Linked DNA regions of Tamandua tetradactyla. The protein of the gene in region 2 purifies or fractionates together with the protein of the main gene of each other region. This does not show direct contact. Links are inferred from orthologs where the notes say so. Each region holds a gene or a part of one and is shown on either strand. Other genes may lie near its edges.

Region 1 (7,686 bases), on a different chromosome or scaffold from region 2:
GAATGGGTGGCGTCATATCTCCATATAATCAAAAGTCACACCTCCATGGAGGTAATGTAATCAAAAGATTCCAACCTACATTATTGAATCAGGATTAAAAGAAATGGCTATCTCCACAAGATGGAATCAGGATTAAAACGTGGCTTTTCTGGGGTTCATAATACTTTCAAACTGGCACACTTATCTAATCATACACTGGCTTGAGGCAGAACCAATCACAAAGTTTTTACAATTGCATCATCACAAGATAAAAGCTATATAATTATACAATCGTTATCAAAGATCAGGGCTACTGGATTGCAGCTCAAAAATTTCAGGTATTCCCTTCTGGCTATCCCAATATACCAGAAACTAAAAAGAAATATCTATATAATGATAGTAGTGATAATCATTTGTTAAATCTTAACTTCTCTGTTACAACCCCTCCCACTCATTTGATCAACCGTTCACTCTTCAGGGGTATTTGGGCAATGACCATTCTAAATTCTGTATGCTGAAAGGGGGTGACAACATTTTGGGATAGAGCAGTCCAATTAATGTACTTGTAGAGACTGGTACCTCTGGGTTTGAGGGCTTATCTGGTATAGGAATAATCTGGAGTTTTTAAGCTTCTGAAAAAAAAAAAGTAAGTAAAACTTTTATAGACCATAAAACACCATTCAGGTAGCATGTTTCAATCCTACACTTGCTATGCAGCCTGTAAGCCTTCATTTACAGGTTGTACAATGGGAAACCCTTATTCCCCGCCCATCTGCCACTTAGGCAAGAGCATCTGCCAGCAGATTTCAAGGAGTCTTTTTATATTTCCTACTTCACCCGAATGGGCCCTTTGCATTCCTCCAAAAAGGCACTGTGTCTTTACTGGGTCTGTTCACTGCTCCAAATTGTCAATTGGACAAGTAATCCTTCAACACTAGTGTGGAGGCTAATAAAGTGCAAGTATCATTACTACCGCTAGTAGGTTGATTACCACCCTTCCATAGATTCAGTTGGTTAGGTGACAACGAGCCCCTACACATTCCAACAGCTTGCCACACAGCAAAAGCAAGATCAGCATGGTGTCAGTTTTCTTCATTCCTAGTCTCATTCACAACATTGATTTGGAGGTGACAGATGATGGGGAGCCCAGGTGGTGGGTCACTCTGTTGCTAAAAAGCCAACTCTAGACTGCAGCCAGGTGCTTTTAGAGCCTGCAGCTATACCCACAGAGGAGGCAAGGTAGAAAGTTCCATACTCAGCTACTACTGTGTAGGTGAATGAGAAATGGCCTTGTCTCCCTTTGCTCTAGAAGGAACTCAGGGGATTCCATCAAGACTTGGTGAGATTGCAATTAAGCTTTATCTATTTGGCTTTATCTACTTTTGTAGAGTTGTGTAAGGTCATTGGGTTGCCATGGTGTATTTCCCTACAAAATATTAAATATTAAAACCAACCTTAAATTCCTGGGATAAAGCCCCACCTTGGTCATGGTGTATTAACCTTTTTATAAATTATTGGTTTCAATTTGCTAATATTTTGTTAACATCTTGCAGTTGGGTAAAGAATATAACTTTGCTCAAAACGTATTCTGGCTTTTGCCCGCAGCTTCCGGGAGGTGAACTCAAAACCCTTGGAATGTCATGCCTGAAAGGAGTGTCATTGTCTTCCTGGGGATCTTTTGTTACTGGAGTCTAATTATGAAATTTAGATGAGGGCTGGTGACACTAAGAGGTCTTAGGGTGAGGACTGCCCAACAAAAAGTCCAACAATATGATTTAGGGCTGAGGGCTTTGGGTCACATGGTATTAACTTGACCTGCTAAGGGGAACATGGGCAGTGAATCATGCCTACATGATTGAGGCCCAATAAACACTCTGAACACCACAGTTCAGTGAGCTTCCCTTGTTCACAATATTCCATTTGTATTTCCATATATTGTTAACACTGTCCATGGCTCCACAAGGACAGCACAGCTAGAAGCTCTGCATTTGGAACCCTCTTGGACTCTGCTGTATGCACTTCTTTCTTTGGATGAGTTTTTTATTTTTTGTATACTGTATGGTGGGGATCATATTTCATTCTTTTTCCATGTGACTATCCTGTTATTGCAGTACCCTTTGTTGAATTTTGGGAGGGGCATGGGGGTGGTGAGTGCATGGGCCTGGAATCAAACCTGGGTCTTCTGCATGACATATCAGATTTTCTATTTCTTCATGAGTTAATTTTGTTAAGCTTTTTCAAAAAATTTGCCCATTTTACATATGTAGTCAAATACATTGCATTAGGTTTGCATAGATATGTGAATAACATTCCAGTTTAGCATCTGTTGGACCTGTACTGATGGCTTCTTTCTTATTATTGTGGGTCATTTTTTCACATTGTTTAATAAAATAAATCACATTTAAAAGTTACACTTCAAAAATACATTAATTGAACTTAAATGTAGTTAATTAATTACATGAAATTAATATTTATTAATTTATTTTAATTTACTGGATTAGGTGAATTTGAATTAAAATATAAATGTGATAAATTAAATAAAGCCAAATTGAAATTAAATGATACATGTCATTAAATTTAATAATTAAATGAATATAAAATATAGTAAATTAAACTTAATCAATCCCAAAGTAATTTGGGCTGTGAATAAAGAAGTATTTGCAAAGTCCCCTTGGGGGAATGGGTGGAAAGGAGGAAATATTCAACTTCCTCATTTGGAGACTCTGATATTCTCACAAGCAGTAGGGACAACCAAATCAATAGGCCAAGCTCTCCATCTTGGGGTTTGCCCCTATGGAAACTTTATTCCTGCAAATCCTACTTAAAATTAGGCATTTAAGAATCACGTTCAGAGACCCTCTTTTTTTTGCTTAGATGTGTCCTCTCTCTCTCTCTAAGCCAACTCAGCAGGTGAACTCACTGCCCTCCCTTCTACATGGGACATGACTCTGAGGCATGTAAATATCCCCAGCAATGTGAGACAGAAATCCCAAATGAGCCAGGACTCAGTATCAAGGGATTGAGAAAGCAAAAGGGGGAAGAGAGAAATGAGACAAAATAAAGTTCGATGACTGAGAGATTTCAAACAGAGTCAAGAGGTTATCCTGGAAGTTATTCTTCTGCATTATATAGGTATTCCTTTTTAGTTTATGGTGTATTAGAGTGGCTGGAGGGAAGTACCTGAAACTGTTGAGCTTTGTTCCAGAAGTCTTGATTCTGGAAGACAATTGTATAAAGATATTAATTTTTTCAATGTAACTGTGATTGTGAAAACCTTGTGTCTGATGCTCCTTTTATCCAAGGTATGGACAGACTAGTAAAAAAATATGGATAAAAAAGTGAAGAAAGAATAGGGGCGACAAAGGGTAAAATAAATTGGGTAGATGGAAAATACTAATGGTCAATGCGAGGTGTATTGGATGTATGAGTTTTTTCTTTTTTTTTTCCTGCAGTGATACAAATGTTCTAAAAAATGATCATGGTGATGAACACATAACTATGTGATGATATTGTGAGTCACTGATTGTACACCATGCATGGAATGTATGTGTGTGAAGATTTCTTAATGAAAATATTAAAAAAATAAAATTGTTAAATTAGATTAAATTTAAACATTGACTATATTCCCTTAATTTTATTTTGATACATCAACTGGTAATTAAATTAAAATTATATACAATTTATTAACAAGTACATTACAGGAATAAAAACTGAATTATATTACAATATTTAATCCATTACATGAAAAAGTAAATCTAAGAAGTTAAATTAAGTTATATTAATTAAAATAAATTACAATCAAGTTAAGATTAATTAAAAATTAATTAGTAAAGTAAAAATGAGGCAAGTCTTATGCCGTAGATGTAGGACTGTTTTATGGATAAAAATTTCTTTTACAAGGAGAAGGTCCTAGAGCCCATGTTGTAGCCCCTGTACCTTGGTATCTGTGACTGTGTGGAGGGAAATGTGAGGAAGAATGTTTGGGAAAAATAAACAAATCTGACCCCTTGATCCATGAGCCACAGAATGGATTATCAGTAGTAACTCATGTCCAAAGTCACGAAATCCAGAAAAATGTCAACCAAGGTCAAAACATTTATATTCCCTCGATCCCTTCGACCTGAAATAAGGCATAGCATGTCCTTCCCAAGTTTGAAGGGGGATGGATAGAGACTCCAGAATCCTGCGTACAGAGCTCTCAGTCACTTTCCATGGTCACACGGATTAGATCTTTATCCCCATTTCACAGGTGAGTAGACTTCTAGTTCTCTGACCTGTACAAAACAAAAATTTTTAACAACAAATTAATGAACATAATTTATATGAGGAAAAAAAAAACCCACGGGAGAGAATATCGGGACATCCCAATGCAACAAGTGAATCAAAGTGGACATCACCAGGAACCCGGCAAATCTCCATTTTAGGGGTGACGGGAAGAGGATTTAGTGGGGTCTGAAATCTCAAAATCTACTCCGGCTGAGGTGATTTCTTACCAGGGTCCACCGACACGACTGTTTGTGGTCTTTCTTCATTGCTCGTGACTGATCCTGAGCCGAGGGATGAGAACTCCTGCACGCTCATGAGATAAGAGCGTAAAGAGTTCAAGGGTCCAGAGGCTGAACCGCGTACAGTTTGTCTGATGAACAGCAAGGAGTAGGAGTGAAAGGGGGAAGTTAGTGTGGGAGGTGAAGTCAGAGACATAACAGGGAAGACTGGTTTCCTTCGCAGAGCCAGACACGCAGCCTGCAGCTTCCCTATGAATATATGTGCAAGGTAAAAGTTATTGAATGGAGAAATTAATGAAAGGCTTGATCCTGATAACCTTTCGGGAGGAGCCGCTTTACCTGTGAGCTGCTCTGCCACCCGAACCGCGCGTCTACGGCACCAACCGCCAAGATGGCCGGGTCTTCGCGGAAGCCTCGCTTGGGCGTCGCCATGTTGCTTGAGAACGTACGATTCGGCCAAACTACGGAATCAAACGTCAAGATGGCGGCATCTGCTAGGATGTCGCGCAGTAAGTGCGGCCATCTTGCTTACTAACGTTGACGTACTACCCGCGGCCGCCGTACGAACACTACAGACAAGGTGGCGGCGCCTACGTAAAAACAGAAATGTATACGCGGTCATGAATATTGCGAACGTAGGGACACGGCGACCGTACGGATTCGATAGTAAAGATGGCGGCTCCAGAGAAACATTAGGGGCTCTTAGCGGGCGGCTAACTTGTTTGCCCCAGAGCAACCACACAGAGCCTGCGCAGTAGTAATACGTTGTCGGAGGAGCGGCCAGAAGCGGAAGTGGTTTTGGGCGCGTCTGCAACGGCCGGTGACGCTGTGGAGTGTTCTGTGCAGATTCGTAGGTTGTTGGCTAGGTTCGCGTGCGTGTACACCAGGAGCTGAGATATGGTAAGTAGGGGTTCCTTTGAGGTGTTCGGCGGTAGGGTTTGGTAAACTTGGTAATGGTCAGGTTCATCAGCAGACGCACGGGGGTCTGGGGTGAGCCATTAACAGTGGACTGTGGGCAGAACGATGGGGTTCGCTGATGGGAGGTTAGTAGGAATGTCTGGGGGTAATTCCGTGGGGAACCGTGATAGGGGCGTTCTATGAGAAGAGTAGTGGGGGAGTTTGTGATGAGTTGTTGGCGGTCCGTAAGGAACCGTGATAAGTCTTGTGGTGAGTTGTGTCAGGGGGAGCTGTGATGGGGACAGGGACTCTGGAAGATCTGTGGGAAACCATGAGGGGGGGAATCTATGGGGTAAGTCATGTTTTTGATGATCAATCACGGGGGCCTGTGGGTAGTCACCATGGGGAGTGTGTGTGGTAAGTGATAAAGTATTTGCAATGAGCCCTTATGAGGTTCTGTAGATAGAGTGATAGGGTGTCAGTGGAGTAAGCGATGGGAGGTCTGGGACAGAGTGATGGGGGACTTATAAGCAGAGAAAGGGGTTGTCAGGGGACGAGTGATGGGGGAAGTCTGTGGGGACCATGATGGAGAGATTTATGGAGAACTGTGATGGGAAGTCTGTGGGCAGAGGGATGGGGACCTGTCTTAAGCCATAATGGAGCCATGATGGGGGAATGTGGCACCATGATGGGGGTTCTCTGAGGAGCCATAATGGTCTCACAGGAGGGAGATGGTTCAGATCCTGAGCCTCCAGATGCTGGTGAGGACAGCAAGTCAGAAAATGGGGAGAATGCCCCCATCTACTGCATCTGCCGTAAGCCAGACATCAACTGCTTCATGATGTGAGCCAGGGAGAGGCGGGTGGCGCTGATGCCTGTGGAGGCTGGGTGAGATCAGTGGAGTGGGACCCTCACACCTCCATTACCGACTCCATCCTCTGCAGCGGATGTGACAATTGCAATGAGTGGTTCCATGGGGACTGCATCCGGATCACTGAAAAGATGGCCAAAGCCATCCGGGAGTGGTACTGTCGAGACTGCCGAGGTGAGGGGGGTGGGGATGGACAGGCAGGTGGGGCTACAGGGAGGAGGAGGGAACCATAATGTTGGGGGAGGGAGTGTCACAGGGAATAGTGATGATGTGGGCAGAATGATTGTGGGTTTATGGTGAACTGGAGTGGGGTTTCCATTGAAAGCCATAACAGAAGGTCCCACAGAGGAGTGCAGGTCTTCCTTGGAGCAGGATAACAGAGCTATTGGGTGGGACGGAAAGAGAAGAAAAAAGAAGAAGGAGTTCTGGGACCATCCAAACCTCCCAATGCCTACTGGTCTTAGCCCTGCCCTCCATCTCACAGAGAAAGACCCCAAGCTGGAGATCCGATATCGGCACAAGAAGTCTCGGGAACGGGACGGCAGTGAGCGTGATGGCAGTGAGCCCCGGGATGAGGGTGGAGGGCGTAAGAGGCCTGTCCCGGATCCAGATCTGCAGCGCCGGGCGGGGTCTGGGACAGGGGTCGGGGCCATGCTTGCTCGGGGCTCTGCTTCGCCCCACAAAGCCTCTCCACAGCCCTTGGTGGCCACACCCAGCCAGGTGAGTGGCTGTGGTGGTTGAGACGGGTAAGGTGGTCCCATCTCAGGTCCTGCCTGGGTTCCTGATACCTGTTCTGGGTATTTTCCACCAGCATCACCAGCAGCAGCAGCAGATCAAACGGTCAGCCCGCATGTGTGGTGAGTGTGAGGCATGCCGGCGTACTGAGGACTGTGGCCACTGTGACTTCTGCCGGGACATGAAGAAATTTGGTGGCCCCAACAAGATCCGGCAGAAGTGCCGGCTGCGCCAGTGCCAACTGCGGGCCCGGGTGAGCATGGGCAGAGCTGGCCAGGGTCAGTGGTATGGGGACAGTGTTCCAGGAGGCTAAGAATGGGTGGGCCAGGTCGGGTGGGGTCTGTTTGTATCCAGGCAAGTGAGAAGGAGCTTGGCATGTCCAAATTGATGTGGCATGACCAGGTGTGCTGGGCTGGTAGCAGGGTCCCCCCTCCCCCCAGTCTTGGGTATGTTTGAGTGGGTAGGTGGGACCAGGTATTTCTAGGTGTTTGAACTGTCAGGGCAATTGGAACAGGGTTGAGCATGTCTTGGTGGGAGGGCTGGAACCAGTTATGTCTGGGGAGGCAAGGCAGAGCTAGGTGGGTGGGACAGGCACTTGTGGGAGGGGGCTAGGGTGGGGCCACCCCCTATCCACCTGGGGCTGACCTGGGCCTTCCTCCTGCCGGCACAGGAATCGTACAAGTACTTCCCTACCTCGGT
Region 2 (7,048 bases):
GTACCCCACGGGGCATTCCAAGTCAGAAATCTATCTCCAAGAATTGGTATTCATAAGGAACTCTCTGTTCTGGAGAGAAGATAAATTTCTTAGGACTGGCTCCAATTAAACTCGGTAATATGAAAAGCAGAAATGTAATAAATGGGCCAATAATATATCTGGAATCCTAAATTCACTTATTCAATTAACAATATATATTGAACCAGACCCTGGCTGGGCTCTAAATAAAATGGGAAGCAAAATTACTTTACAACCACATGCTGGAATACTATATAGCCATATATAGTGTAACTCTATATTTACTGTCCTGGAAGATGTTCCTATGAAAGAGTAGATTATAACTAATATCATATTAAGAACCCATTAAGAATAGATTTCAGGAGAAAAAGTTCTACATCAAAATGTTACAGTGGCCATCTCTAGATGTTTTTATTATTATTATTACTTACTTGCATTTTTAAGTTTTTCTTCAATTCATATGCATTTACTTGCATGAAAACAGTAAATGAATGAAACAATGCTTTAAAAAAAAAAGGAAAAGTAAAAATTAAGTCTGATACTCTTTGAGACATTCTGATTTACTTCTGGCTGCAGCTTCCCCCTCTGAACATCCTCCACTGGAGCCAGCTTTTCTGGGTCACTTTTTAAAGTCCAGCCTTTCAGGCAGCAATGTTGGTGGACTGGAAGTCTGGAACAGCTGGGCTATAGTAGGCAGGGAGCTGGGCTACGAATATGAAATAGTATCTGAATTAGTCTCCAGGCTGTGACCCATAGCAGAACACTCATAAAATATGAAAAAATGACTTTTTGCATTCCAAAAATAATGCAGGATGCCAAATCTTAGGAGACAGCTTTGGTCTTAACAGTGAAATCTGGAAAAGGTACAGTGAATACAAACTTGAAAGATATGCTGCAAAGATTTATTTTGGCTGAGAACATTGAGTAGGTTTCGGCTGTTTTTGTGGCTATATTCTTTGTAGGTTAACATGAGCCAAAATATGGCATCTTACTGAGTATATTACTTACCAACAGTTCCTGGACGTGGCACCAAATCTGTCTTATTGCTATCTAAGGATTCAAAGAAGGCTCTATATCAGCCTTTCTAGCCTGTAGATAAAGATGCAGGATTTTGCAGTGAAGTGAGTGAGCGAGTGCTCTGGGGCACCGAGAGCTTTTCTCCCATTGCTTTGCAGTTTGGAAAGTTGCCATCCATTCAGGTTTCCTTCAAACAGGCTTTTTCCTGACCCCAGAGCAAATTGTAACCAGAAGCTCTCTGCTCTTTGTCAGGAGGCAATTGCAGCCCAGACCTAGGCAGGATCTTACCCTCTCCCCTCAAAAAAAGATTTCTCCTAAGTAAAAATCCTGGCTCCTCTTTTACCCAGGAGATGAGACCCTAGTTCTTTCCAGAAAGGGCCCAACTGTCTCAGGCTTTCTGTTGTTTTTACTGTTGTCCGGGTTACATCTGGGTCTCTGGATATCAAATCTTCCTGATGTCAGCGACTAAAAGGACTCAACAGTCTTCCTTCTTTGTTTCTCTTCCTGTTTAATCACTGCAAGTTTACTAAAGCAAAATAAATAGGATCCACTACCATTGTCCAATTAACTATTTGTGAAGCAACAAGAGTTAGAGATCCTAGAATCTGTAATCGAGAAATTAGGATTTAAGGGATGATTTTTTTCAGTTTTTTAAAATTAATTTTTAAATTAAAAAAATACAAAAAAACACATTCTTAATTTATGATCATTCCGTTCTACATATATAATCAGTGATTCACAATATCAGCACATAGTTGCATATTCATCATCATGATCATTTCTTAGAACATTTACATCAATTCAGAAAAAGAAATAAAAAGACAACAGAAAAAATTCATACATACCATACCCCTTACCACTCCCTTTCATTGATCACAAACATTTCAATCTAAATTTATTTTAACATTTGTTCCCTCTATTATTTATTTTTATTCCATATGTTTTACTCATCTGTTGATAAGGTAGATAAAAGGAGCATCAGACACAAGGTTTTCACATCACAGTCACATTGTGAAAGCTATATCATTATACAATCATCTTCAAGAAACATGGCTACTGGAACACAGCTCTACATTTTCAGGCACTTCCCTCCAGCCTCTCCATTACATCTCGACTAACAAGGTGTTATCTATTTAATGCGTAAGAATAACCTCCAGGATAAAGTTGGGGAAGTTGAATTTTCCTTAAGGGATGATTTTGATTATTGAGTCATTATATAGATATTCCTTTTTGCTTTCTGGAATATTGGAGTAGAGAGGAATGCTTGAAATCCCTATACTATAATTCGGCTGCCCTGATACCTGAAATGATTGCAAAGGCCCTTATTTTGTGCCTTTGTGACTGTAAGAGCTGTTATCCCCTTATCTGCTCATTTTCTTGTAAGGAAAAAGCCCTAAGACTAATGAAAAATTTGAAGTCAGCCATTAACTACTTTCAGCGTCTGACATCTGTAAATAGTATCAGTTAGACTCTGCTATTGAAAGATAACTTGTCTCCCTTCCCTTTGGCTTACACCTTTAGTAGTGACATGATAGTTCAGCCTTCCTTCCTTTCAGCTGTTTTTTTTGAAATTGTAATGACCTCAGCTCCCCTTACTAAAATTCTTAAAAATTTTGAACCCCCTAAAATTGGGGAGACAGATTTCGGGCCGCTAGACCATCTGTTCTCCTACTACACACCTAGTTATAAACTCTCTCTCTTGAAACCTGGTGTGTCAAGAATTGATTATTGAGTGCGTAAGGCAACAGAATCCACAGCCTTTATCCAGTAACAAACTTGTAGTGATTGCACAGAGTTTAATCCCTTGAAGAAAATTAAAGCCAGAAAGCATGGTTCCTATTTTGTGATCCTTTACTAGAGATCAACTTTCCTTCCTTTTACAGCAAAAAATACCTTTTACAATATTGCCCTTAAAACAATCCCATTGACTACAAAGCTGGTAATGGAACTGTTGTATATCTTTAATATGGTGGTGGTTGGGAGACTTTTTGTGGGTGTCGAAATTCATAAAACTATCCAGTGTAAAGGAGAAATTTTTACTGAATCTAAATTACACTTCAATAAAAAACACCAAAACAATCCGATTTAGTAACGCAGGTAAATGAGTAAGATACACTACTATAGCAGGACAAAAATGGTTACTTCTATGTTTACGTGTATATATGCATAAGGCGAGCAAGGAGTCAGGAGAATTTAAAACTGCATTTTGTTGATTCAGGAGATAATTGTTCCTTTAAAATTTTTATTTGTAACTGACGCTATGCATTTTAGAATGTACGTTTTAAAGCTTAAATATAGGAGCTTTTACATTTATAAAACTGTATGGAGCTACACTTAAGATTAGTTCATTTCTTCTTGTTAAACTGTACTTGAAATTTATTACTTTTCTGTATATATGTTATATTTCACAATAAAAATGTAAAAAAAAAGATTAGCTCACTTCAACTCTTTTCATTATAACTCAATAAAAAGTTTTTTTAAAAAGCTTTGAAAAAGTTCTAGGTGGTGGTCAGAGAGTATAATCAAATGAAAAAAATCATCCACTTAAAATGTGGGCAGTTCACCTTACCTTATATCTCAATTAATAAAAAAGAAATTGAAATTCTTCGCTGGCGGCGGCGTCTTGGGCGAGCAGTCAGGCCCGCCCGCTATCTGCTCATCTGAAAACACCCCCAAAACTGATCTCCAGGGCAGCACCTGACACTAGCAGTGCTCAGCTTCCTCGTGGTCGGCGGTCAAGATGCCAGCAGGGGGCCCCCGAGTTTCTCGGGATATCTCAAAGCCCGGCACAAAATCCCTCGGCTGTCCCTTTGGTCCAGCAACTCACCGGGACACAGCAGCCACAGGCCGCCCAGTAGCTCCACTCCCAGGAGGCCACCCTGACGTCATCGCCCCGCCTCCCGGCCTTTCCCGCCCCACCCTCTTTCCCGGCGTGCACCACGGCAGAGGCTCCTCGCCTTCGGCTTCTGCCTGTCGTCCCAAGATGGTGGACACAATGAGCAGGACTCGCGCCGGTTGGCCCTAAGGCGACCGGGAGAAGAAACCGTCTGCACGTCCCCGCAGTCCGGGCAGGAGAGTACTGCACGAGTAGAAAGAGAAGGCGGCTTGACTGTCGCCTGTCCTCTCGTTCGTCGCAGGCGCGGCGCCCGCTCCGCCCAGGTTGGCCCCTCGGCAGCCCGCCCGCCAGCTCGCCGCTGGGCCCCGCCCCAGCCCTGCGCCGCCGCCTCCAGCAGCCGCCGCCATGAAACTGACCGACAGCGTGCTGCGGAGCTTCCGCGTCGCCAAGGTGTTCCGCGAGAACTCGGACAAGATTAACTGCTTCGACTTCAGCCCTAACGGCGAGACGGTCATTTCGAGCAGCGACGACGACTCCATCGTGCTCTATGACTGCCAGGAGGGCAAGTGAGTGCGGCGCTGGCCCTGGGCCCAGGTTTGAGTCCCTCCAGTGGCCCGGCTCTCGCCCTGCGGCCTTCCCTCCTCCTCGACTTCGGCTCTTGGCCTATTTTGCACTCGCTGCTTACAGGGGCGCCTGCAACGTGCAGCCGTCCGGGAGACCTTTCCTTTTCCTTCGTCTTTATTATTATTGTTGTTGTCAGTGTTATTTTGTCTGTTTTCGGTCTCCTTTTAGAGCACTTCTGCATCTTTTACCGAACCCCACCTTGACCTTGACCTTTAAAACGCCCCATCCCGCCCCCAGCAGGTAGAGTTTTCCGCTACCCTGGTACTGTCGATGGTGCCCATTGGCTCTGGCCCAGACACTGAACCTCAAAGAACTACTCCAGCTTTATTCTAGAGCATCACCTCTCTCTGCCCTCTTCTCGGTGACCTCGATCCAGCCCCGGTAGTCCACCCATTCTCTGCCTCTCAGCTTCCATCGGCCTTTCTACCATAAGGCCGCGTGGGTGCAGTTTCTTAGCTGTCAGGATTTCATTTTGTAGTGCCTCTTTGGGCCCCGGTCCTTCCCTTCCACTTCCAAGCCATTCTGTTACTCCCTCGGACCCGGTGTCCACGCTTATACTGAACTTTTTAACATCTGAAACTTTTTCTTCCTTTCCTGTTATTTCTTTTTGCCATAACACCAGCGAACTTGGCCGTCCCATCCCAATCTGAATGTGAGCCTCCCGTTAGAACAAAGAAAGCATCGTATAACAGTTTCGTGTTTCCTCTCCCACTTTTTTTCGATTACACTTCGTGGTCCACATAGAATGATCAAAATTACTAGTCTGATCTTGCAACTTTTATGCTGCCCCAGATCCTCGGGCGACCCACCACACCTGCATCTCTTGCAAAATCTTAATAAGCACAGCACTTTGCATTCTTCCCTGGGGCACCTTTTCAGCCTGGCTTCATTCCTGTATCCTTGGCTTTCTCCAGATCTTACTGACTTGTGAGCTCCTTTGGAGCCTTAAGCTAAATTTTTGAGTTTCCCTCAGCCATCTTCCCCAAGCAGACTTACTTTTAAGTCGGTGGTTACTGGTTTTGTCAGACCTTGTTTTGTTATCTGGATCCAGATATTTCTTGAATCTTTGGATTTTTCTCTTTTCCAGGTGTTCCTTTTGCCTCTTTCTTTTTTAAACAGATATCCCTAAACTTTTCTTTTGGAACTTGTTTCTTCATTTCTCAATTTGATTATTTAAAGTAGTGCGGTTTTGGTCTACCTAATTTTTTTCCCACTGGTCCTTGTGAGAAAGTATTTTGTAATTGGTTCTGGATCTGCCTGCAGTGTATGGAAGAGTGCCTGCGGTGGTGATCCTGAGGGAGAGGGAATTGTTACCTGGACCATACTAAGTTATTTGAGTCAGTGTTACTCATTTAGTAGATGGATTTCTGTGCAGGCCTGACCATTAGAAGTCAGCTTGAAAGAGGGAGTTTCAAGCTGGGGTTGGGGTTGGGATTCTAGAGTCTGGAACTAGAAGTAATTTGAAGCTGGCTTGCCTGAAATGTTAATTGCTTGTACACAGATTAGAACCTCTCCCTGGTACCTGAGGATGGAGGTGTATTCTGATTCAAAGGTAATGAAGGCTGTAGTAGAATTTAGTTGGTCTCCGAATGTGGTAAAATTTCGAATTGTTGGGAGGGATGACAATGGCATGAAGTTCTGTCTTGTTAAAAGTAAAATGCCAACTTTATGACAATGCAATATATTCCCTCCTAGCATTTTTACATAATTACAAACTTAAAGAAAAGTTACAACATTGATCAGAGACCTCCCATTTGATCTACCAGTTGGTTACATTTGTTCCATTTGCTTTATCACTCTATGTAAATATTTGTTTGTATGCATATTTTTTCCTGGGCTATTAGAGAGTAAATTGAAGTTATCAGGCCCTTTTATCCTTAAACACTTCACCATGGATGGCCTCAGCACCAGGACCTTGTCTTACAGAGCTGGAGCACAGTTACCTAAATTAAGAAATGTAGTGTTGATACAGTACTATAGGCATGCTTTTGAAAATTTTCTCCCATCAAGCAATTGTGGCCTTGTTTCATTATACTCTGTGGCATCAGAAACCTGGTAGTTAGGAAACTTGGGTTCTAGTTTGGCCTTATGACCAGCCATGTAATGTTGGTGAAGTCAATATCAGACAACCATTGCTTCCAAGGTCTCTTTAGTCTCTAGGAATTCATGATCCTAAGAGGTAATGTGAAGAAAATTTTTGCCACTAGTGTAGGTTAAATCAACATTGGATGAAAAGTAATGTTTCTTGGGAAGGCATAGTATCTTTATTAGGTAGTACTAGTGTTAGAATTTGGGAGTTTGAAAATGGCTAAAATCAGATTCTTTGTGCTTAATATTTTCCAGTTTAATGTTCATTTAATCTTTGTTTACAGTGGAGTTCATCCATTGAGTAATTTTTCCAACTTCAAAGAATATAAAGGATATTGTTTGTGGTAGGTAGTACAAATTATTTAAAGAGAAGGCTTTTATATTATTGCCTTATACCTGATTACCAGAATCATAGTTTGAGGTTAGGAGTTTACCCTTAAAAATTGTGAAAAAATGTGCATGGGC
Region 3 (7,069 bases), on a different chromosome or scaffold from region 2:
TGGAAGGTTTCTCTAATCTCTACCTCTGGGGAACTTCCCTGGAGAGCCCACAGGCAAACTTCAGGGGATGTTCTAGAGTCCTTTGAGCCCCTCTAACCAGCACCCAGGAAGAGTCTCCGGGGACCCTGGGGGTAGGGGTATGCCTCCTCAGCCTGGCTTTCCCAGCAGCCTGCCTCAGCCAGTCAAGGAGAGCAGAGCCAGGTTCCAGGGCAGGGGAGGTGCTGCTGTCTCTTTAAGAAAGAGGAGGGAAGACACAATGTCAGCCCCGAGCACCCAGAGCTGCCCGCCCCGCATGGCTGGAAACCTTATCAATGAAAAGACACTCCTGGCCCAGATTGGTTCCTACAGCTTGGGGTGGGGGTGGGGGGACACCCTGAGTCCTCAGAGGGCTCTCTTTTTAGTTGAGGGCTTTTCTATTCATTTGAAGGCACCCTCGTGGCCTCCCTCAGTCCCCCCACAAATAAACAAACTCTGCCTCCTCCCCTAACACAGGCAGCAACGCTGGGGACTGTCTAAACTGAAGCCACCAGGGCTCCGGGAGGGCCCGCCGGGGTGCCCGCAGTGGGGATGCCTCCGGATGGTCCCCAGGGGCACAGCGGCCAAGGCCCGGCACATTTGGTAAATTATAGCCTGTCTCCTAGCAACAGACAACACATTTAGCAACACGTGACTCTACCCTGGGGGGAGGGGAGGGGTGCAAAAAAAATAAAAAGGGCCACAGTGGGGGCACGGTACAGACCCAGGGCCCCATGAGGCACAGGGGCCACTGCAACAGGACTCCCGGTGGCTCCTCCCCATGGGCAGGCCCAAGCCGGCCTCCACTCACCGGCCTCCACTCACCTTTCGTGTCCAGCTCCACGTGGATGATGTTGCCCATGACAGAAGTGCTGTGCAAGTGTTGAACGGCCTCCTTGGCGCCCCTGACCGTGGCAAAGACCACCTTGGCAATGCCCAAATGCTTCTTGGTCTTGGGGTTGTACAAAATCTCCACCTCCTCCACCTCCCCATACTTTTTGCACATGTCCCTCAGGAAGTTTTCTCGGATGTTATCATTCAGCTTGGCAAATGTCACCTGCTTCGGAGGCACCGGGCCCACGTAGAACTCATCGATCTGGGAGGGGATGAGGGGGTAGGGAGTCGGAGAATATTGGAACCGAAAGGAAAACACAACATTTCCCACTCGCCCGCTCGTTGAAAACAATGAAGGGTAAAAAATAAATTTTTTTCTTAAAAAAAAAAATGCACGCGGGCGGGCCCGGGAAGCAAAGCATTAAATCGTTTGGAACGTGGAAGTCCTCAGGGTTCGGAAGGAAAGGGGAAAAAGAAACAGTTTCTCTTTCCCCACCCCCCCATTCTGGCCTCCTCTCCCCGACCCGGGTCAGGGGCGACCCCCTGGGTTGGGAAGTTGACCTCTGAGAGTCTCTGGGCCGGGAAGGGGGGCGGGTCCCTGGGCTGAGTCCCAGGGCTGGCGGGAGCCAGGTGGGGACCCGGAGCCCCCCGGCCGGGCGGGACACTGTATCAGCGCCCTCGTTACAGTTTCCCCGAGTGCTATTCTGTTTACAGTATCCCGGAGGGGACACCGCTCTGGGCAGCCACCTCCCCTTCCCCGCCAAAACCTCCCCTGCCCGGGACAGCGGGAACTCCGAATCCGGCTGGGCTGGGTCAGGACTGGCGTTATTTTCGAACTCGGGGGGGGGGGGGGGGGGGAAGAGCGGTGGGGGGGGGAAGGAGGGGAGAGGCCAGGGGGCAAAGGGGAGGGGTCCTACCTTGAATTTGGGCACCGACAGCTCCAGCTCCTTGTTTTTGGTCCAGATCCCGACGACCCGGGGATCTTCGACAATTTCCACTGGGCGGTTGCTGGACATCTGTGGGGAAGGAAGCGGGGGACAGGGGTGGGGGGTGGGGAATGGGAGGGCTGGTCCCCTCCCCAGGGGCAGGGGGCAGACCCCCCCCTTCTCCTGGCACTTGTCAAACTCCGGGACCCGGGACCCGGCTGACAGTTGGCCCCGTGGTCGGGAGGGGTTCCCCGGGTGGCTCGGGGGCCCCTCTGTCCCCATGGCTGCGGAGTGGGGGGTGGGGGGGGGCGGGGAGGCGCGCCGGACACTCACCGCCAAGCTGAAATGCTGCCCATCGTAGCGGTACAGTTTATGGTGCCCCTTTTTCAGAGCCGGGTCAATCATCAACTTGTAACTTCTCCAATGGTGGTTCCTTCTCTCGCCCGAGGGGCCGGGCTGCGACGGGGGCTGCTGGTGGTGGTGGTGGGGGGGGTGACTGTTCTCCATGCCGTTAACCCAACCTGAAAACCAGCAAGTTGTTGTCGTCTCCGCCGTGGCGGCGGCGGCGGCGGCCGCTTCTTACACACACACGCGAAATCACCAGCCCCCCGAGCCCCCACCCCCTCCCACCTTACCAGCGCGCCCCAAAAGGCGCTATCTCGCTTGCGCCCCCCCAAAAGAAGGATGAAGAGACAGACTCAACCTTCCGGGAGGATTAAGCGCCCGCCCGCTCGGCCACCGTCTCCGGTCGGCAGCGAGGGGGTCCCGGGGGCCCCCCGAGCGAGCCGGCGCGGCCCGGGGCGCCCGGAGGACGCGGGCTCCGGCCCATGGTGCCCGCCCGGCCGCCCGGCGTGGCGCGCGCTCGCTCGCTCGCTCGGGCCCGGCTCGGGCGCGGGGCTCGCGGCAGGCCTGGCGCCGCCCGCTCGGGCCGGGGCTGGGGGCTCGCGCCGCCCGGCTGCCGCCCGCGGCCTCCCCCTCCCGGAGCCGCGCTTACATCCCCGCCGGGCGCCGGCCTCCCTGCGCCGCCAGCCAGTACATGGTGTCCCCCGCGGGAGCCGAGGCCGGGGCGGCCGGACGGGGGGCCGGGGTGGGGGGGACGCCGCCGCCGCGGCTGCCGGGGCCGGAGCTGATGCCGCCGCCGCCGCTGCTGCTGCTGCTGCTGCCCGGGAGGCGGCTGGCGGCGGAGGCTCGGCTCCCAGTAGCCGCACATCCCACAATACACCGCTAAGGAGCCCGACCCGAGCGCTCACCCTCCTCCTCTTCCTCCTCCTCTTCCTCCTCCCCTCGCCTTCCTCGCCGCTTCCCCAGGCACTCTCCCGGCGGCGGCAGCTGCGCCGCCAAAGCCCCGGGCCCCGGCGGCCCCCCACCCCTCACTCGCGCGCTCCCACACTGCCTCCCCCCTCCCCGGGGGGAAGGCCTTTTAATTTATTTATTCTGCTGGGACTTAGGTGGGGGGCTCGGCTGCGGGGGAGGGGGGTCTCCGCGGGCTGAGCCTCCCGTGGCCCGGGCGGCCGTCGGGGCCGCGGCGTGCATCTCGGGCCTCCAAAACTGTTTCTAAACTGCCGGGGCCGGCGGCGGGTGCGCGTGGACTCGGGGGCCGGGGCTGGGTGTGTGTGTGTGTGTGGGTGATTGTTTGGAGCCGTGGGGCGGAGGGGGGGGTTGGTGGGGTGGAGGCCGACGTCGACTCGAGGCGAGTTTGCAATCGAGGATCTCCGCTCCGGCCGCCTCCTGGGCCCCGCGACCCCTCCCTCAGGAGCGGGGCTGGGGCTGGGGAGGGGGAAGCCCGGATTCCAGCCAGATTAGCATTCCCCTTCCCGGGAGGATGCAGCCCTCGCCTGGACCTGGGTGATAGGAGCGTCTGTGTTTTTATTTTTGGAGGAGAGCGCCCTGTAATTGTCCCGAACACATGCTTCCCCCACCCCCCACCCCACTTCTCCCTCCAGAGGCGAAGAAGCGTCCCCCTTCTCTGCATTTGTCTTTGCCTTCCCCCTTTCTTTATTAAAGGGCCGGGAGTGGCGGCGGCCAATCAGCGCGCGGCTTCCATTTTGTGAGTTCAACTCCGAGGCTCCCGGGCTTCGCGAGGACGCGTCTGCAGCCCCCTCTGCCGCTCCTCTCGGGCGGCCGGGGGGAAGGAGCCGCCTCACCGGGGCTTCGCGGTGGCGGATCGCATATTGGGGCTCTTTTCGGGGTTTGTAATTTGGCCGTGGGTAGGTAATTGGCTGGAGCAGGGCGGCAGGGCGCGGCAGCCAATCAGCGCGCGGCTTCTATAGGGCTTGAGTTATTAGACGCTGATCTCAAAACATCCTTCATCAGACACCAAGGAGAGGCCAACAAGATGAGGGAGCCATTTTTCTGCAATGGAATTAAATGGCCAAGTGGGTTTTTCCTTTGTTGCAAATGGGGAATGCTTCTCCTTTGACTCCACCATCCAGTTCAGGACGCCTCAATGTGGTGTTTTAACATTTGTCAACAAGCTAAAGGACTCACACTTGGAAGGATGAAGAAGACTTTTTAAAAAGATCTGGATTTTTCCTTATGACTTGGAATCCATCTTTGTCTTGTATAACTAGGTCATAGCACACCACTAATGTTCAGCAGTTAACAATCTTGAATTCCAAAAAACCTAAGTAAATGACATATTTAATTTTTTTCCTCTTTTTTTTTCTTGGGTGGGGGTGGGGGGAGCTTGGAGCTGTCTTAATCTGTATTCTCTTGACTGAACAATAAATTTTTAAATACGTAGTTTCCTCTATTAAACACTTAAAACTGGCCATCTTATTAACTCCTTCTGCTCTCTTTTCTTTTTTTTTTTTTAACAAGGTAATGTTTTAAATGTATAGTTTTAGGATTAGTGAAATGGCAGCAACAAAAAAATTGTGAGCAGTCGTTACTCTTTTTTTAAGTTTTTTAAAAACCTTTTACATTGTAAGTACCCAATCCATTCTGTCCTTACGCAGTGCAGTTTTCATGTTAATGTTGCTGAGATGTCCTTAATTTCTGAAACTTCATCTGCATGTCTGTCTTTGTTTCATGTCTAATATAAGCCAGTTAAAATGCTTTTAGACGATTTTGCTTTGATGAAGCTAAGGTTTTGGCTTTGAGCTTTGGAAAATGTTTACAACAATACGTGCTAGTCAGCTTTCTTCCCATTAACATGTACACTTTCTTTGAAAATCGATCTTTTTGAAGAAAAACAGCTCTGTTTTTCTCGTCTTTGGGGGAGGGGGGGCGGCGAAGGAAAGGAAGACCTTCTCTTTGTGTAGAGAGACTAAAGCCGTCACAGGAAACTAGATTAAAACTGGAAAACAAGTCCTAGCTGGTTCCAGCCAAATACCAGCGTTAACTCGGGGGTATTTTCTAGGGTGGTTGGGCTGGCTGGTGCGTCTTTTACCTTTTGTTTGATTTGACTGTGTATTTTCGCCTTTTGTCTCTTAATGATGAGCACACCATTGCTATATCCAGAGCAGTAAACAGTCCTCAGCGAAGCCGCCTTTTGCCAACCTAACCCTGGAAAGTTTGCAGAAGTGGAAGGAGCAGAAAATGCATGAGAGTGTAACTTACTAAAAGGTAACAACAAAAAAAGACACCACCAGTTCCCCCAAGTTTTCCCAACTAAACCCAGAAAAAAAGCCAGATATATATTTTTTTACAATAACACCTCCAAAACCACCGCCCAGGTTGATCTTCCAGACTCCATGGCACCGGGCTGCGCGGGTAAGTAAAAGAACAAACGACAGCAACAACAGAAAACCCCAGTGCCTTTTGCCACTTCGAGGAAATCCTTTTGTCGAACAGGCCACGGGCTACAACTGTTTGGGAGCTGAGGGGAGACGGTTTCTGGAGCTTTATGGGTTTGGCAGCCGGCGCGTGGGAGGGGGTGTGTGTCGTGAGGAGGGCTGTGCAGACCCCTTTCCCCTTTTGGCCCGGAGGCGAGAAGAGGGTCTCCCCCGCGACCCTCGGGGCATCCACCTCTCTCGTCCCAGATTTGAGTCTTGGTGGGGGAGAGAAAAATTGAAGTTCTTGGAGATTGGGGGTTGGGGGGGTAAGCTCAAAAGACGAGGAAACCTGCCCGCCCAGCCTAGGGGCCTCTTTCTTTTGGTTGTGGGGGTCTCGCCCTCCGAAGCCCGCTTTTCGGGGCTCCGGGCGCGCCTGGGCTTCCTAACCAAAAACAGGACAAAAGGCCGGCGTCCATGTTGGCAGCATGACGCAGCATCTCTCCCGCCTGCTGCCCCAGCGCAGCCTGTTCTCCCGGCCGCGCTCGCTCCTCCCTCCCCAACACCAGTTTTATTTTCAGGTTTCGAGCAGGGCCGCGGGCTGGGGCTGGGGCTGGGGCTGAGGCGGGCGGGCGGGCCCGGCTGGGCAGGGTTGCGAGCGGCTAATGGCGGCCAGCTCTCGTCTTCCTTCCTCTCTCCTTCCCTGGTCGTCGTTGGGAGCCCGGGGCAGGAGGCGCGTCCTTGGCCCGGCCGAACCCCGAGAGCCCGCAGGCGCCGGAGTTCGGGCCCGGGAGCGTCGCGGGGGTCGTTTCGGGGGGCGCGGGCCTCCGGGGCGTCGTGAGGCGGCTCCTGCGTTCGCCTCCGCGGGGCTAGGCGGCCAGACGGGCGCCATTTCGCGCGCCGCCCGCAGTTCGGGCGGTGGCGGCCGCTGCGCGCCAGGCGGGAGGAGGCGGCCGCGGCCCGGGGGGAGGGGGGAGGCAGAGCGCGTGGACGCCCGGGGCCCGGGGAGGCCGCAGAGCCCCGCGCTCCCGGCGGAGGGGGGCCCAGCTTCGACGACGGACGCCCCCAGTCTCCTGGCAGCCCACCCCCCACCCCGACTCGGAGGCCCCAAGGCGGGCACGAGGAGGCTTCCTCCCCAGGCCAGGCCCCGGCGGCTTTCCCTCCTCCCTCCGGCGCGGGAACCAGTAGCAAAGGGCCACGGGGCCGCTCGGGGCCTCGCAGCCGCCCCCTGACCCTTACCGGCTTCTCCGGAGGCCTAGGAGCCTCCCCCGCGGCCCTGCTCTGGCCGCAGCCCTCCCTCTCCCAACCCGCGTCTGCCTATTCGGGCTTCGCGCCCATGCCCTGGCACCCTGTCGCCCCCTGATAAGCCTAGCCGGCGGGGTCAGTTCTCCTGCTTGGTTCTCACTTTGAGCTTGAGGCCCCTGCGGTGGCCGCAGACGCCCTGGGGCCATCTCACCAACCCGGCCCTCTAGGCTGGAGGTGGGGGTTGGGGCTTGGGAAAGCTGAGCGGGCCTTCCCCGGGATCCCCCCCCAGGCGGAGGGCTCTGGGGTAAACCCTTAGATCTCCGGCCCTTTCTGGGG

Evidence for each region. Proteins that work in one complex are often made in the same cells at the same time.
Region 1: the proteins of WDR82 (region 2) and CXXC1 purify together in Homo sapiens (affinity purification with western blotting; 7 studies listed by BioGRID and IntAct, with this or other methods). This does not show direct contact. The link is inferred for Tamandua tetradactyla from reciprocal best matches to the Homo sapiens genes WDR82 and CXXC1.
Region 3: the proteins of WDR82 (region 2) and SETD1B purify together in Homo sapiens (affinity purification with western blotting; 4 studies listed by BioGRID, with this or other methods). This does not show direct contact. The link is inferred for Tamandua tetradactyla from reciprocal best matches to the Homo sapiens genes WDR82 and SETD1B.

What each region holds. Positions count from the first base shown.
Region 1 is NC_135344.1:32,372,846-32,380,531, forward strand, and holds the start of CXXC1 (CXXC-type zinc finger protein 1), read left to right. Parts: upstream 1-4,599; 5' UTR 4,600-5,381; coding exon 5,382-5,384; intron 5,385-5,410; exon of another isoform or gene 5,411-5,527; intron 5,528-6,105; coding exon 6,106-6,224; intron 6,225-6,325; coding exon 6,326-6,426; intron 6,427-6,736; coding exon 6,737-6,972; intron 6,973-7,063; coding exon 7,064-7,240; intron 7,241-7,657; coding exon 7,658-7,684; intron 7,685-7,686. UniProt on the Homo sapiens protein: Transcriptional activator that exhibits a unique DNA binding specificity for CpG unmethylated motifs with a preference for CpGG.
Region 2 is NC_135341.1:33,592,599-33,599,646, forward strand, and holds the start of WDR82 (WD repeat-containing protein 82), read left to right. Parts: upstream 1-3,963; 5' UTR 3,964-4,276; coding exon 4,277-4,437; coding exon of another isoform or gene 4,438-4,465; intron 4,466-7,048. UniProt on the Homo sapiens protein: Regulatory component of the SET1/COMPASS complex implicated in the tethering of this complex to transcriptional start sites of active genes.
Region 3 is NC_135331.1:10,116,827-10,123,895, forward strand, and holds the start of SETD1B (histone-lysine N-methyltransferase SETD1B), read right to left. Parts: upstream 3,088-7,069; 5' UTR 3,026-3,087; intron 2,875-3,025; exon of another isoform or gene 2,770-2,874; intron 2,558-2,769; exon of another isoform or gene 2,411-2,557; intron 2,297-2,410; 5' UTR 2,283-2,296; coding exon 2,109-2,282; intron 1,866-2,108; coding exon 1,767-1,865; intron 1,112-1,766; coding exon 841-1,111; intron 1-840. UniProt on the Homo sapiens protein: Histone methyltransferase that catalyzes methyl group transfer from S-adenosyl-L-methionine to the epsilon-amino group of 'Lys-4' of histone H3 (H3K4) via a non-processive mechanism.